4 linked regions of the Yarrowia lipolytica genome follow. The protein of the gene in region 2 interacts with the protein of the main gene of each other region in a pairwise test. Links are inferred from orthologs where the notes say so. Each region holds a gene or a part of one and is shown on either strand. Other genes may lie near its edges.

Region 1 (2,891 bases), on a different chromosome or scaffold from region 2:
TATCTAGCTACTTGTACTCGTAAGTGCCGTATAGTAAGTGCATTTCCGTTGAATAAACAAGACTCTCTCTCTACTTGTACACTACAGTATATACCATGTTGGGTGCTACTATATCAAGCGTCACTATCAAAGCCACTGCATTCTCCACCTTCCACTCCATCCATGCTCTCAAACTCATGGCCAGTATAATCCCCCGGACTTGCCTATATACAAGTACTTGTGTTGCCGGAATGATCAGGTTTGGTCACGTGTAACATTGTACGATGCCTACTGACCGCCCTCAAGTATTGCATACATACTGTACCACCACTTGTACTCGTACTCCACCCTTGTTGGTCAGGTATGCTCTCTTCAGTGCCAACCCATTCTGATTGATCCCGAACCCCGCTCACTTGATGCTTTTCGATGTACAGCATGTACTGTACTTGTACTCGTACCGCTACATACAAAGACTGCATCTGGTCTAAGGGATACCGTTTAGCAGGTCTAGCAGTTATGGAGATTGGCAATCTCTGTGTCTCATCCATTGCTGTTCCAGTACTGAGCCGGCAGTCTAGTCAGTATTCGCAATCGCACAAGCTCTTGTACTTGTATGTACTGTACATAGTCATACTTTCAACTACTGGTATTGTACTGGCACTCGGATGTAGACCACCGTTGTCGAGATAGTTGCCCAGAGTCAATCTGGTCCAGTTCGGGGGCAAGCCATAATATCTACCCGGTGACACACGTGTCGAACCGTCTTTACGTGCGGACCACTGTTACAAGCCCGGCAACAGTCGTCAATGTACAGTGTCGAACCTGGTGGCAACACCTGTCACTCACCGCTTGGCACCCCACACAGTGTTCCAACTTGTAATCACGATTACATCATCTGCGGAAATCGAACTCACGCGCGGAGAAGAAATAATCCCAAAAAAAGACGGTCTGAAAAACCCACCATTTATCGGACTTGATCTGCACCCCATACTCTTCCCCATAATGTATAAACTCTCGGACTTGGGGTATTTTTGATTGGGGAGCTGCACGCACCCCACGCACTTGCCATGCTCTCTCACACACAAGGTATGAATGGTCCAATGGGCCTGGTCAAGGAGTAAGCTGAGTGCGTAGGCGTGGAGTGGAGTGGGTGCTGAAATTTAAGTGCTCAAAGAGTCGTGAAAATAACGTCGAATATCGCAGTACTAAAGGCGGGGTATTCAATCCTGCGACCCCTGCACTGGAAACCGTTGCCATAATAACAAATATAATATATATACAAGTACTCGAACATATATATGCCACGCAGACCGGCTCGGACATTGTCGTGTTTTGCTATATACACCGTTCTCCGGCTTTGCCCGATTTGCGTGCCTGCGGATTGGCTGAACGTGAAACAAGTTTGCTGCAACCGAATTAAACGGCTGAAGCCAGCAATCCAACCACCGAGTGGCAATCTACTGGTTCGCAGCTTTACAACCGTGCAAACAGCGCTCCGTCCCCCCCTTATATACACATGGTGGGACCTTCTCCACGTGAAAACTAGCCTCGGTACATTTAGTTCGGCAACCTTACCCCAGCTGAGCTTATTTGCGGTGGTGACGAAGACCGTTTTTAAAACCCTAGAGTCTCCCCTTCTTCACGCCAACACACACAAAAAAGATGTCCGTTTGCCTCGCCCAGAACCCCACCGTGACCCGAGTGGTCAAGCTGCTTGAGACCCACGTCGGTCGAGACAAGATCCTGCGGTCCATCCAGTACTTCTCGCGGTTCCTGACCTACTACCTGTTCCGAAAGGGCTACACCAAGGACACCATTGATATTTTCCGAAAGATCCAGAACCAGTTCTCCATGGCCCGAAAGCTGTTCCGAGTTGGAAAGCCCATTGGCCATCTCAAGACCGCCGCCGTGTCGTTCGAGAACAAGACCCTGGACCCTTGTCTGCGATACACAACCATTGGCCGAAACCTCGGCTACGCCATCTACCTGGTCTTTGACTCCATCATCTACATCAACGGCTCCGGCATCAAGAAGATTGACAACATCAAGACCATCAAGAAGGTCGGCTCCTACTTCTGGGCCTTTGGTATCTTCTGCAACATTCTCAACTCCATCCACAAGATCAACATCTGCAAGAAGAAGCGAGCTGCTCTGGCAGCAGAGAAGGAGAAGGACACCACCTCCGCCAAGAAGAACGACAAGGACGCTGCCGCTGCCCAGAAGCAGCTGGTCTGGGATCTCCTCGATTTCTCCATCCCCCTCACCTCTCTCGGCTACCTGCACCTCGATGACGGTCTCGTCGGCCTGGCTGGTTTCGCTACCGGTATTATGGGTGTCCAGAAGGCCTGGGCCGCTACTGCTTAGATAGATAACTCGCAAGAGACGTATGCTCAATAGGGAGAGCACAAAGAATAATGAGTTTTGACTGTGTTGTAGCAACCAAGTGTGTCTGTAGCGTTCCGTGTAGTTCTGCAGATGAACAATGTGTGCAGATAGCAGCATGCCAATCAGTAGACCTGAGAAGGTGTTACCAGTACGAGCACTGTACGACACAATTGATACATATCCATAAAACGCGTCTTCGGAGATAAATCAATGTCTCAGATGTACGATAAGAGCAGCGTATGATGTGAGTTGTATTGTGCATGGAGAAACTGAATAGCATAAGAGTGGGTAGAGAGAGGTGAAGTGGGAAACGATCTGTTTAAGAGGCATGGCATGGCTATATGTTCTCTGACGTCTCAGTATCACCATATGACCACATACTCCACATTCAATCCCATTGATATCCCTCTACGGAATCGAAGGATGTACGAGTAGATACTGAATCAACCATTGTCACAACCACAAGTGTACAAGTAATGACTAACCACCACTATCAATTGACTGGTATACAGTATCATATAGTTTGT
Region 2 (3,271 bases):
TCAACCCCTTACCTCCATTTCTTTCACCTCACCCCCTGTTGAACCTCATATTGGTTTCTGGCATTCTTACCAACAATGATGGCGGATTGAAGTGTCTACTTGTAGTTAAGCAAGTCTAAATAATAAACCGACAATTGTATCTGATCTGCCCGAACCTCCTTGTGCTCTAAGCGCGATACTCATTAGTACAGCCCTGCGATGAGTCCAAACTAGCCTTGTGGTTGCCCACAAAGCACCTTTTTTGTCTCTAGTTTGCATTACCGGACACGAAGAAACCCTACCATGGGCTAAATACTGCTCTCTGTGGGCCCACAAGTACTGTCTAGCACTTCCACGGAGATGATCACAAATATGCAGGTGCTAGCGTCGTTCAGGTCATTTTTCAGCACTAGTGCCAAAATAAACCCCAGCGTTCCATCTCCGCCATCCAGAAGCGCACTAATTCAAGGGGAAGGAATACCAACAACAGTTAGTCAAGTGTTTATTTTTGTCCGAACAACGCTGAAGAAGTTGTCAAGGTTGTCTTCATGTGCAGCGGCGAGAGGAAAGAGGGTCCAACCAACTCTCTCGGTGACCTGACGAATACGAGGAGTTGATCACTGCATTCTTTAGGCCCCAAGGAATATATCAATGCAGTATATGTGACTGTAGACTCCCGTATTCGATAATTACCACGTTGGTATTGGTGGGTGGGTGTCTCGCCTGATTCATCAGAGAACAGTTTAGAAAGTGAAGAAATGAAGTGCTGTTAATGCATGTATTAACAAACGGAGTTGACCCGTGGACTCGCGGCAAAAAACTGAACAAGGACGACATGTTTTCCCCATAATACTTTGTTATCTACCCCAGTTAGCTGAATCCTACAAGTAGTAGACCCTAGGGTGGGTACACTGAGACAGTGGAGGGCAATGTTTTAATTCAAAAGTCGGAGGTTTTTTGAGACCCTCTTTTGTTCAGTTCATGTGACCCGTATTTTGAAGTTCCTGCTTAGCTCCTATTCCTCAGATTCTTGTGGTACACTCGAACCCATACGAGCACTTTATGCCATACATTGGGGGAGCTGCGCTTATGTAAGCATAGGAGTTTTATTTTCATTTTTATTTTCATTTTTATTTCATTTTTTGATAGTGGACGTTATTTGGCAAGTAGCACGCTATACTGGTGGCTACGTCCAATATCGACTCCTCCAGGTCCGGTTTTATCACGTGAATGTCACGTGAATGTCACGTGATTACTCATACCGGTACTGTACTGTACAGTACTGCACTCGTAGTGCATCTGAGCTGGACCGTTGGTTTTCAAGTTACCCTACTTTTTCCCCCACATGTGTTTTTCCGTTGTGATTTTGAGCCTCGGTAAATGGGGAACTTTGATTCCGGCGCTGGGAAATGGGGAGGTGCACTTATCTCGACTTTTCGGGCTCGGATTTGGAAAAGGACAACTGATTTGAATTCAGCAGATTTTTCTTAACATTGCGGTAGTTTCAAAAATCAAAAATACCCACTTTCCAAGTAATTCCACGTCTCATCTATCATCTTGGACCCTAACCCCGAAAACGCACCCCACATCAGCTCCTCTTATGATTCCCTCTTGTCTCTCTACACAACACATGGCACCTCGAGAAGATCTAGTGCAAAGTGCGGTGGCGTTCCTGAACGATCCTCAGGCAGCCACTGCCCCGCTCGCCAAGCGGATCGAGTTTCTGGAGTCCAAGGATATGACTCCTGAGGAGATTGAGGAGGCTCTCAAGCGGGCTGGATCGGGCTCGGCCCAAAGTCATCCTGGAAGTGTGGTGAGTCACGGGGGCGCTGCTCCAACCGTGCCTGCCTCCTATGCATTCCAATCGGCTCCTCCTCTTCCTGAACGGGATTGGAAGGATGTATTCATCATGGCCACCGTCACTGTTGGTGTTGGATTTGGCCTGTACACGGTGGCAAAGCGATACCTGATGCCTCTCATCCTGCCCCCCACCCCTCCGTCTCTCGAGGCCGACAAGGAGGCTCTGGAAGCGGAGTTTGCCCGTGTGCAGGGCCTGCTCGACCAGGTGCAGCAGGACACAGAGGAGGTCAAGAACAGCCAGGTAGAGGTGGCCAAGCGGGTCACAGACGCGCTCAAGGGCGTGGAGGAGACCATCGACCAGCTCAAATCGCAGACCAAGAAGCGTGACGACGAGATGAAGCTTGTGACCGCCGAGGTGGAGCGAATCAGAGACAGACTGCCCAAGAACATTGACAAGCTCAAGGATTCGCAGGAACAGGGTCTGGCCGACATTCAGAGCGAGCTCAAGTCGCTCAAGCAGCTGCTCAGCACCCGAACCGCAGCCAGCTCTGGACCCAAGCTGCCTCCCATTCCTCCTCCCTCCTCCTACCTCACTCGAAAGGCGTCTCCTGCCGTTCCAGCTGCTGCTCCCGCACCTGTGACTCCCGGCTCTCCCGTGCACAATGTGTCTTCAAGCAGCACCGTTCCTGCTGACCGAGACGACTTTATCCCCACTCCCGCAGGAGCTGTGCCTATGATTCCCCAGCCTGCTTCCATGTCCTCTTCGAGCACCTCTACCGTGCCCAACTCGGCCATTTCCAGCGCCCCCTCCCCCATCCAGGAGCCCGAGCCTTTTGTGCCCGAGCCCGGCAACAGCGCCGTGAAGAAGCCCGCCCCCAAGGCTAGCATTCCCGCCTGGCAGTTGGCTGCCTTGGAGAAGGAAAAGGAAAAGGAAAAGGAGTAAATGTTAGGATACAGTGATGATAGTGCAGAGATGACGTGATGAAATGCCGAAATCGAACAGTGAACGGTAGCTCACCTTCGAGTGTTCGGTTGGACCATGGATCAGACGGTGTTCATGGTGTACTAGGATGTATAAGGTGGATCTTTATGTTAGTGCAGGCATATAGAGGAATTTATTTAATGCTACTGTAGTGGTAAGACGTGATCAATTTTTTTTTAGCTATTCTGCACTACTCTACTAGGGGACATAGATGCTCGGGACATTTCTCCATTCTGACGACCATTATTGGTACCTAGACTGATATCGTGGAGCATCAAATCCGTTTTGGGCTGATTTGAACAAGTCGGTGCCGATATTGCCACGCCTGTGAATAGTATATAGAACTAGGCAGCTCTTCCTGTTTAGCCTGAATCCGAAGTCTGAGCGGCAAGATCAAGTCGAGAGACCATGTCACGATTCTGGAAAGAAATTCGCGTTCGGACTTCTCAGAGAAGTGATGCAAGATGGCTCAGATCGAAGACAGAGGATTCACTTAAAGGCGCTTGGTTG
Region 3 (3,047 bases), about 670 kb from region 2:
AAGAGTCTGGCGGAACGCGCAATGATGGCTGCATTTCTGGCGTGGCTACATTTCTAGCTCATGTCAACGCTCTCTCTCTCGATTTGATAATCCACTGGAACTCTTCGGTGACTCATCATAGGCAATTCTGGCCCATGTACTGCGGTGAGATGGCTGGCGCTCTGAGCAACTCGCAGCTTCGGCATTTACACCTTGAGTGCAAGGAGGATGACAGAGGCACACTTATGATCCCATACGTGTGCCTCAGTTACATCGTTGCCAACCTCTCACCTCACTTGGAAGGTCTTGGTATTTCATATCCCCTCCTCGACACTGACCACAGTTACAATCGATCCTACTCGAACTATGGAAATGGCGAAACGTTACAGGATCTCTTAAAGTACCTTAATGTCAAGTATCTTGATCTCCTAAACTGTGGACCCCCTCCGCGAGCATGTTCCCTAGTTGGTGGGGGAGCTGTTGCCATACCTGGATTCGAAGATGGCCACCACCCTGATGATTACAGCCGCGTCATCCGAGAGATACTACCCGCCATCCCATCCACTCGCTACGTGGGTATTGGATCGCATGTTTTTGACGTAAGAGATCCTTCCCGGTTACCTATTGTTAGAGACGGACTTCGAGAGTGGTTTATCGACAAACTCCTGGGGCTTGAGAATACCTCATAGTAATTCTCACGACCATCACGAATCATGATGACTTTTACGACTTTCACGACTTTCACGACTTTCACGACTTTCACGACTTTCACGACTTTCACGACTTTCACGACTTTCACGACCTTTACGACCTTTACGACCTTTACGACTTACGACTTTTCCGACCTTATGACGCTTATGACCTTTATGACCTTTACGACGCTCACGACCTTTACGACCTTTACGACCTTTACGACTTACGACTTTTCCGACCTTATGACCCTTACGACCTTTATGACATCTATAACCTTTATGACCTTTATGACCTTTATGACCTTTATGACCCTTCTGATGACTTTATGACTTTATGACCCGCTTTATCCATGATCCCCACGATCATCACGACCTTGCTATTACGACACTGTTTATAAAGTCCTATGACCCTTATGATATTAATGACTCTAATGACTCTAATGACTCTACGATTTTCGTGACCTCACAGCACACACAACATCCCTTCAATACATATTTAAAAAAATAATGATATCTATTAGCGTACAAATCTATGCCGATACCGGTATCATAGTTACTGACAACTGAAAAATTATATGTGTAAGTTGTCAACATTGAGGATGCCAAGGGTACTTGTATCTGCGCATGAGGTATGCCAAGAACCATGAGACAAATTCGAGTGTACTGTTCTTGTAGCTACTGGATATCGGTAGTACAAAAGATGCGCTTTCCGACACTGTAATGTCAATAGAAGTTTGTGAAATAATATACCAAAATACCAAACACCAAGCTCGGAACTTAGATGATCGTCAAAATATTCAACCGTCGTAGAATCTCGAAAAACAATAATGATCCGTCCGTTCAGATTAAAGTTGGAACTGCGCCTCCACACGGCACTTGAATTGGTCACCTCAACATCATTAGTGGTATGATAGAAAGATGGCGGTGATGCTGAAGCTGGCGGTTGCCTCTACCAAGTCGGGTTTTGTTTTCTGTGATCTAATATAATTGCGCAAAGATGCGGTATCCCTTCGTGGTTTCACCACTTATAAGCCTACAGTGTGCACACATCTGCAGTGTTAAACCATGCCAGTCCGGGGGGGTTCTAAGCAGATACAACTTTGATCACCAGAAGGGTGCGTGAGCAGCTGCGCAAGACACCCGACACTCACAACCCAGACTTTACAGCTGCTAACCACACGTTGACCGCCACAACCAGGATCCGTTGACGACACAAATTAAGGGCAAATTCGACAAAACTAGCATAATCGCATTGCTATAAAAGACACGGTTTCACCATGGGAAAAGCAGCATCGAAACTGTCTAAGGACGAGCTCACTGAGCTCAAGAAAGCAACCTACTTCGACCGAAAGGAACTGCAGCAATGGTACAAGGGCTTTCTCAAGGATTGCCCGTCTGGCCAGCTGAACAAGGAAGAGTTCCAAAAGATCTATCGACAATTCTTCCCATTCGGCGACCCTTCCATGTTCAGTGAATACGTCTTCAACGTTTTTGACAAAGACAAGAGCGGAACGGTGGATTACAAGGAATTCATCTGTGCGATCAGTGTAACCTCGCGTGGAACCCTTGAGGAGAAGCTAGAATGGGCCTTCCAGTTGTACGACATCAACGGCGATGGTAAGATCAGCTACGATGAAATGCTTGCCATTGTCACGGCCATCTACAAGATGGTTGGCTCAATGGTCAAACTACCTGAGGATGAAAGTACACCCGAGAAGCGAGTGGACAAGATTTTCCGTCAAATGGACAAGGATCGAAATGGTGAGCTGACTCTGGAAGAATTCCGAGAGGGATCCAAGGTTGATCCCACCATCGTCAGTGCTCTTAATTTATATGACGGACTTGTCTAACGAGGTCCTTGATTGTCGTCCACAACCTATGTATCCAATATACCTTCATATTTTGTTTCATTCAGCTTATTAAATGTTATAGGAAGCATGGTTCCTTTTAATACTGTTATCTCTTTGTAGGTCACACACGGATAGTTAGCTACAGTATGCTCTATTTACCCAAAACGCCAGGCAGAGGCTCGCTACCAACGCTCATCATGAGCTTGATACCGAGAGTAATGGTAATCAGAGCGACAACTGCAGTCCAGAAGAAAAGCTGGAACTGGACGCTCACGTCCTGCTTCTGGCACAACTTTCCTCCTCGGCCAGTCTTGCACTTGCATGTGTAGGCAGACTCGCCACGGCCCTTGGAGCAAGCACCATGGCCTGAGCAGTTATTTGTCTTCTCGTTGCACTCATCCTCAGAGCCAAATCTGGCAATACCAATAGCCTGCTTCTTCTTGGAGGCTGCTAGGCGGCCACGTTTCTCCTTGTTTGTAGCTCGGAGGCATGAGGGGGCGTACACGACGGTGACAGGATTCTTTTC
Region 4 (5,276 bases), on a different chromosome or scaffold from region 2:
ATGCAAGTTCTCAAGATTCGCCACCCTCGATGATCCACTACTTGTAGATGGAGACCGTTGATAGAAAAGTCGGTAGAAAGGTGTCGATTATATTTTGGTCGTGATTGGAAAGATTTTGTCCGGTGGTTTTTTCTTCATCCCCAATTTCAACACGACAGCACAAGCACGAGTACAGTTCACTGCTCAATATCATCACTCCTATCTCCGTCATGCAGTCGCCCCCACTTTTGCAGTCCGATTACTGTAATTTTGGGGCATCTCAGATGCACTAAGGAACGAGACATTTTTCCTATAATCCAAATATTTATAAAAAGTTAAAAAAAAATTAATATAAAAAACATAAAAAAACATAAAAACCAGTACGAGTAGTTGCGTGAGCCAAGCAGATTGTACTGTGAGAATATAATTTCTCTTATCGGTGTAAATAATCAAGTTTTGGTGGTCTTCCTACTCCAGTATTTGAGCAATGTCATAATTATCACGTAATATATTTATACAAATCCACCCATCATCCCTCGTCTGTTCATTTCTTGCCTCCCTCAAATTGCTGTCTCAGCTTGAGATAGTGTTGCAGCTCCTCCGCCGAAACAGATGGACTCAGCTCGTCCTTGGCCTTCTCAAAATCCTGCTGAGCAACCTCAACCTCAATGTCACTCTTGGTAGCCTCGTGGTCAAACCACCATCTGATGGAGACGGGCTCCTCTCCGGCCTCCTCCCTGTTCTTGTTGAGCAGCTTGATCTTGGCATCAACCTCGTTGGCAGTTCGAGTCATGGCATTTAGCATGGCATCTGAACACAGAGCGTAGAAATCGGCGCCGGTGAAAGTAAACGGACATCGTTTGGAGATGGCCTCAAGAGACACATCGGCAGCAAGTCGGAACTTTCGAGTAAGAGCCTCCATAATAGTCTGCTGCTTCTCGTGGGTATCAGAGATACCCAAGTACAGCATCTTATCGAATCGTCCAGGTCGCAGAAGAGCCTCGTCCAACAGATCAGGACGGTTAGTAGCTCCCACAACGAAAACACCCTCTCCTCCCGCAGTAGACATTCCATCGAGCTCAGCTAGCAGCTGCGACACAATTCGGTCCATGACTCCTCCAGAGTCTCCCTGGTTGCCTCTCTGAGGCGCCACGGAATCCAACTCGTCAAAGAAGACAACACAGGGCTTGGCATCTCGGGCCTTTTGGAATACTCGTCGCACGTTGGCCTCGGATTCACCAATGTACATGTTGAGCAGCTCGGGACCCTTGACGGAGAAGAAGTTGAGCGAGAAAGTCGTGGCAATGGCTTTCGCGAGAAGAGTCTTACCAGTACCGGGAGGACCGTAAAACAGAATACCCGATCGCTTCTTTACACCGTCAGAGAACCAGTGGGGGTACTTTAGAGGAGTCTCGATAGTGTCCAGAATATCCTTCTTGACACCCTCCATGCCTCCAACATCGTCCCATCCGACATTGGGGATTCGGGGAGCTCCAATGGAGTCGGAGTACTTTTGTCGAGCATCAGCAATAGCGTCATCAAAGTCGGAGGGAGTCAGCTGGAGAGTACCATGCGAAAGGGTCAGGAGATCGTCTAGAGTGGTATCGGAGTCCTTGGTGAGCTTGTTAAGTCGATCAATGGCTCTCAGACGGGTAGTCTGGACAATGGCTGTGAGATCAGGAGGGGTCAGACCGGCAGATTGGAGCGCAAGGTTCTCAACAGAGACATCAGAACGCAGAGAAATGGGTGCATTTCTGATTGAATCGCCCCCAGGACCGGATTTCGTCAGATGAGAAAAGATCTGACGTCTTTGGGGCTCAGAGGGCACTCCGATCTCAATTTCAAACTGAAATCGAGATCGAATGGCCTCGGAAATCTTGTCGGGATCGTTAGACGTAGCTGCCAGCAGCACTCCGTGTCCGGAGTAGTCCGCAAGAACGTCCACAAGCTTTGAAACTATTCCCTCATCCTTTCCGTCCTGGTCGCTCTTCTTTGCAATCGACTCGAGATGCTGCAGAACGACCACGCAAGGAGAGCAGCCATAGGCCCGGTCTAGCTTGGCTCGCAGAGTTCCCAGTGTCTGGGCCTCATTGTCTCCAATAAGTCCAAAACACGAGATTTCGAACACAGAAATTCCGCACTGGGCAGCCACGGAACGAAGAACAGTTGACTTTCCGACGCCTCGCTTGGCGGAATGCAAAAGTACCGAGGTGTTGAGTTTGGCGTGCGAGAGAGCCGAGGTCGAGATCTGAACCAGGTTGCGGATCTTGTCGGCGTATGCAAACTCGGATCCAAACTTGGGCAAGGTATCCAGACCGAGATATTCGCGCCATGGAACACTGGTGGGGATTACAGCAGAAGAAGTAGTTCCTCCCTCGATCAACTTTGTCTGAGAGGAGTCCACAAGGTACTGTTTGGAGGCAGGGTCTTCACTTCCGTTGAGAGAAGTGACCTGAAACCACGCCACGGAGTCGGGCTTGACTGCCAGAGCTTCCAGAGGAATGTGGCTCATTTCAGGATCTTCGCCAATAGTTCGAGCGAGAATAGAGTCAAAGGGAATGGGGATCAGATCACCTACTCGAACGGCTCTCTTTACGGGCTTAAAGTAGGCCTGCAGACCTGCGTGGTAGGCTGTTTGGAAGGTTCTGTCTGTGGTAGTAGGACCAAGCACTCTTGCCAGCTTGACTTCCTCAGCAGCTTCAAGCACGGAATCCAGCGCCTCTCCTACAGACTTATGTGTCTCACCGTTGGGAGTCACCTCAATCTCCTTGTCGCCAATGTTGTGGTACAAAATGGGCGAGACGTAGACCACGTCGTACTTGACTGTGTTTGGTTCGGGGTATGCAAACAGTCGGAGCACCCGTTCGGCTCCGTTTTTGGTCTTGATGGACACAATGTCGCCGGAAAAGACTCCGAGTTTCGACATGGTTTCAGACTTGACGAAGCCTCGGCTTTCGCAGTCGTCAAACCGGTCCGAGAGAGGAGTAGGGATGGCTCCTTCAAGAGGTGCCACTTGGAGGTTTGTGGATTCACGGGTCTTGGCAACAGATGTGTCAAAGTCGAGAAACTCTGCAATGTCAAAGGCCACGTCGGCAGCTTCGTCGGCCGGTTGGATGGTTTCCTGCTCTTTGGCGACCGTCAGCTTGGTGGTTCCCTTGACCACCTTGCCCTGGTTTACAGGCTCGCACAGACGCACTCTGCATCCGTTGAGCAGCACGTCGCCCTGTCGGATTACCGGTCGGTCCTTGTCGAGTTGCGGCTCGAGAGCCTTGAGCACTTGTTCGGGTGTGTTAAGCGTTTCGTACTGGCTGGCAGGCACGGTCACGATGGCATGCTCAATCGTGACAGGGTTGACCCGTTTGAGCACCACGGGCATGAACTTTTTGAGACTGCCTGCCACGTGGCGAATGTCGGCCTTGCAAGTGTACTGCGGCAGAGATCGGTCCTCAGAAGCAGGATACAGAGCCCACTTGATTCCAGGAGCTTCGAACGCAACATATGGCTCGGCTGGCTTGTCGGAAAAGAGCTGCTGGTACAGGTAGGACGAGAGCTCGAGCTTGGTGGCATCCGGGGCAGCCACCAGCTTGGCTGTGATGGGTTTGTGGCTGATCGACGGCATGCTCGATGTGGTGGTGTTGTAGAGAAGAATGACTATGATCTGTCGGCCGAGGTTAAGGGAGCGTGCAGAAAAGAGAGTTTGGCGGACATCAAGGTTAATGTGAAAAGTGGGGTGTGGGGAAGAGCCAGAATAACGGTATGAATGAAGCACGTGATAGACGTCAAGGTGGGTGTTTTTTATGTTGGTGAAGATTCCCAGTAGTGACTGGAATAATGGGAAATTCAATTCTTTTTGTTTCTGTTCAAATTTCGGCTCTGAATGATGAGTACAAGTTGTTCCGTGATGATGTTAGCCTGGGCGCGCGTTATGTACTGTAGCTAACTAGTATGAATACTGTACATACGGTACTAGAAAAAACAACACCTTCGGAGATGCTTCTACTGGTAGTTCTATATGAATCAGTCAATTGAGAGAGACTTTACAATGTAATGGTTTTGAAATCATAATACGGATAATATATACACACAGGACTTGAGGTACGGTACTTGTAGTGCCCGGAGGAGTAAGTAACCGAGTCCAATCTCATTGACAATAAACACACAAGTCGTCAGCACCAGTGACAGTTCCAATACAGTAGTTCCTTCTTAGTCGAGGATGTTGGAAAGCTGAACCATTGGGTATTGCCAGAACAGTACACAGTACATAGTATGCGGTACATTCCTGCGTGAGTCGTGTGGCATCACTTGTTTGGCGGTTTGGTTATAGTAATTCGTTGCTTAATCAGTCTTGACCTTTCTCAGCTCTCCCTGCAACCGCTGGAATACGTCAATGACAATGTAGCCAGAAATGAAGAAAAAGGGGGCGTAGACAGCGAGCAGGTTGTATCGAAGGGCATCGGTAAGACCGGCTCGAGCCCACACCTCCGCGAGACATGCCAGAGTCGTTAGGCTGGCATTGACACCGTACACCAGCATCCACAGGTATGTCGTGGGAGTGGCGGTCTTGGTTAGCAGCTTGTAGGCTCCATAAACAAAGAAGGGCAGCTGGAAGAGGATCTCGATCCAGATGAAGGACATGAACCACGCTGGTTTTTCGAGCACAATGAAATCCTTGTTGGATGCCACGTGGAAGTCTTCCATGAACTGTTGCCCGGGTAGTTTGTACGCCGCAGGAATGGCAAAGCCTCCATCGACCATCAGGGTGATGACAAAGTGGATGGCACTATGTTAGCAGGGAGCGGAGCGTAGATAGTCTGCGGTAGACCGTGTGTTCGCCGTGTTGTACTCACAAATACCACCCGTAAAAGGTGTCTCGCGTGGACATGTTATGTGGTGTATCGTGTTGAAAGATGAAAGTTGATGATGAACAACTTAGTTGTAGTAGATGCATGTGCAGTAGTTCTGTTAGAGGGCAATTTAGAGGGGCCTTGTGGTTTTGATTTACACGAAATTGAATAGAATGGGGACAAAAAATTGAAAGCTAGGACAACTCCTGAGACATAGTCCTTCTCTTTTTATACCAAAACCCATCTCGTACGCCCTATCTCAGTGTCTTTTGGTCGACACTTTACCGCATCTATAGACCGCACTCCTAGGTCATAAAATAGTTAAATATATACAATTAAAAGTGGACAACACGTCTATGGTGATGCTGGCTGTCCACCGATGAAGATTCTGTCGCGTGCTCACTTTTTTACCTCCTTTTCCAGCATATCCTTGGCCTCGTTGATTTTCTTGGC

What was found.
Region 1: the proteins of YALI1_E11587g (region 2) and YALI1_C05386g interact in a protein complementation assay, tested with the Saccharomyces cerevisiae proteins (2 studies listed by BioGRID). The link is inferred for Yarrowia lipolytica from reciprocal best matches to the Saccharomyces cerevisiae genes PEX14 and PEX11.
Region 3: the proteins of YALI1_E11587g (region 2) and YALI1_E18242g interact in binary tests that used the Saccharomyces cerevisiae proteins (3 or more experiments, as listed by UniProt). The link is inferred for Yarrowia lipolytica from reciprocal best matches to the Saccharomyces cerevisiae genes PEX14 and FRQ1.
Region 4: the proteins of YALI1_E11587g (region 2) and YALI1_C25979g interact in binary tests that used the Saccharomyces cerevisiae proteins (3 or more experiments, as listed by UniProt). The link is inferred for Yarrowia lipolytica from reciprocal best matches to the Saccharomyces cerevisiae genes PEX14 and PEX6.

The regions. Positions count from the first base shown.
Region 1 is NC_090772.1:537,353-540,243, reverse strand, and holds YALI1_C05386g (uncharacterized protein), read left to right. Parts: upstream 1-1,641; coding exon 1,642-2,343; downstream 2,344-2,891. UniProt on the Saccharomyces cerevisiae protein: Involved in peroxisomal proliferation. Promotes peroxisome division and biogenesis.
Region 2 is NC_090774.1:1,157,126-1,160,396, forward strand, and holds YALI1_E11587g (uncharacterized protein), read left to right. Parts: upstream 1-1,579; coding exon 1,580-2,722; downstream 2,723-3,271. UniProt on the Saccharomyces cerevisiae protein: Component of the PEX13-PEX14 docking complex, a translocon channel that specifically mediates the import of peroxisomal cargo proteins bound to PEX5 or PEX21 receptors.
Region 3 is NC_090774.1:1,822,320-1,825,366, forward strand, and holds YALI1_E18242g (uncharacterized protein), read left to right. Parts: upstream 1-1,948; coding exon 1,949-2,521; downstream 2,522-3,047. Other genes in the region: YALI1_E18212g (uncharacterized protein), read left to right, coding at 1-668; YALI1_E18258g (uncharacterized protein), read right to left, coding at 2,673-3,047.
Region 4 is NC_090772.1:2,594,315-2,599,590, forward strand, and holds YALI1_C25979g (uncharacterized protein), read right to left. Parts: upstream 3,599-5,276; coding exon 524-3,598; downstream 1-523. Other genes in the region: YALI1_C25990g (uncharacterized protein), read right to left, coding at 4,315-4,759, 4,827-4,927; YALI1_C25998g (uncharacterized protein), read right to left, coding at 5,223-5,276. UniProt on the Saccharomyces cerevisiae protein: Component of the PEX1-PEX6 AAA ATPase complex, a protein dislocase complex that mediates the ATP-dependent extraction of the PEX5 receptor from peroxisomal membranes, an essential step for PEX5 recycling.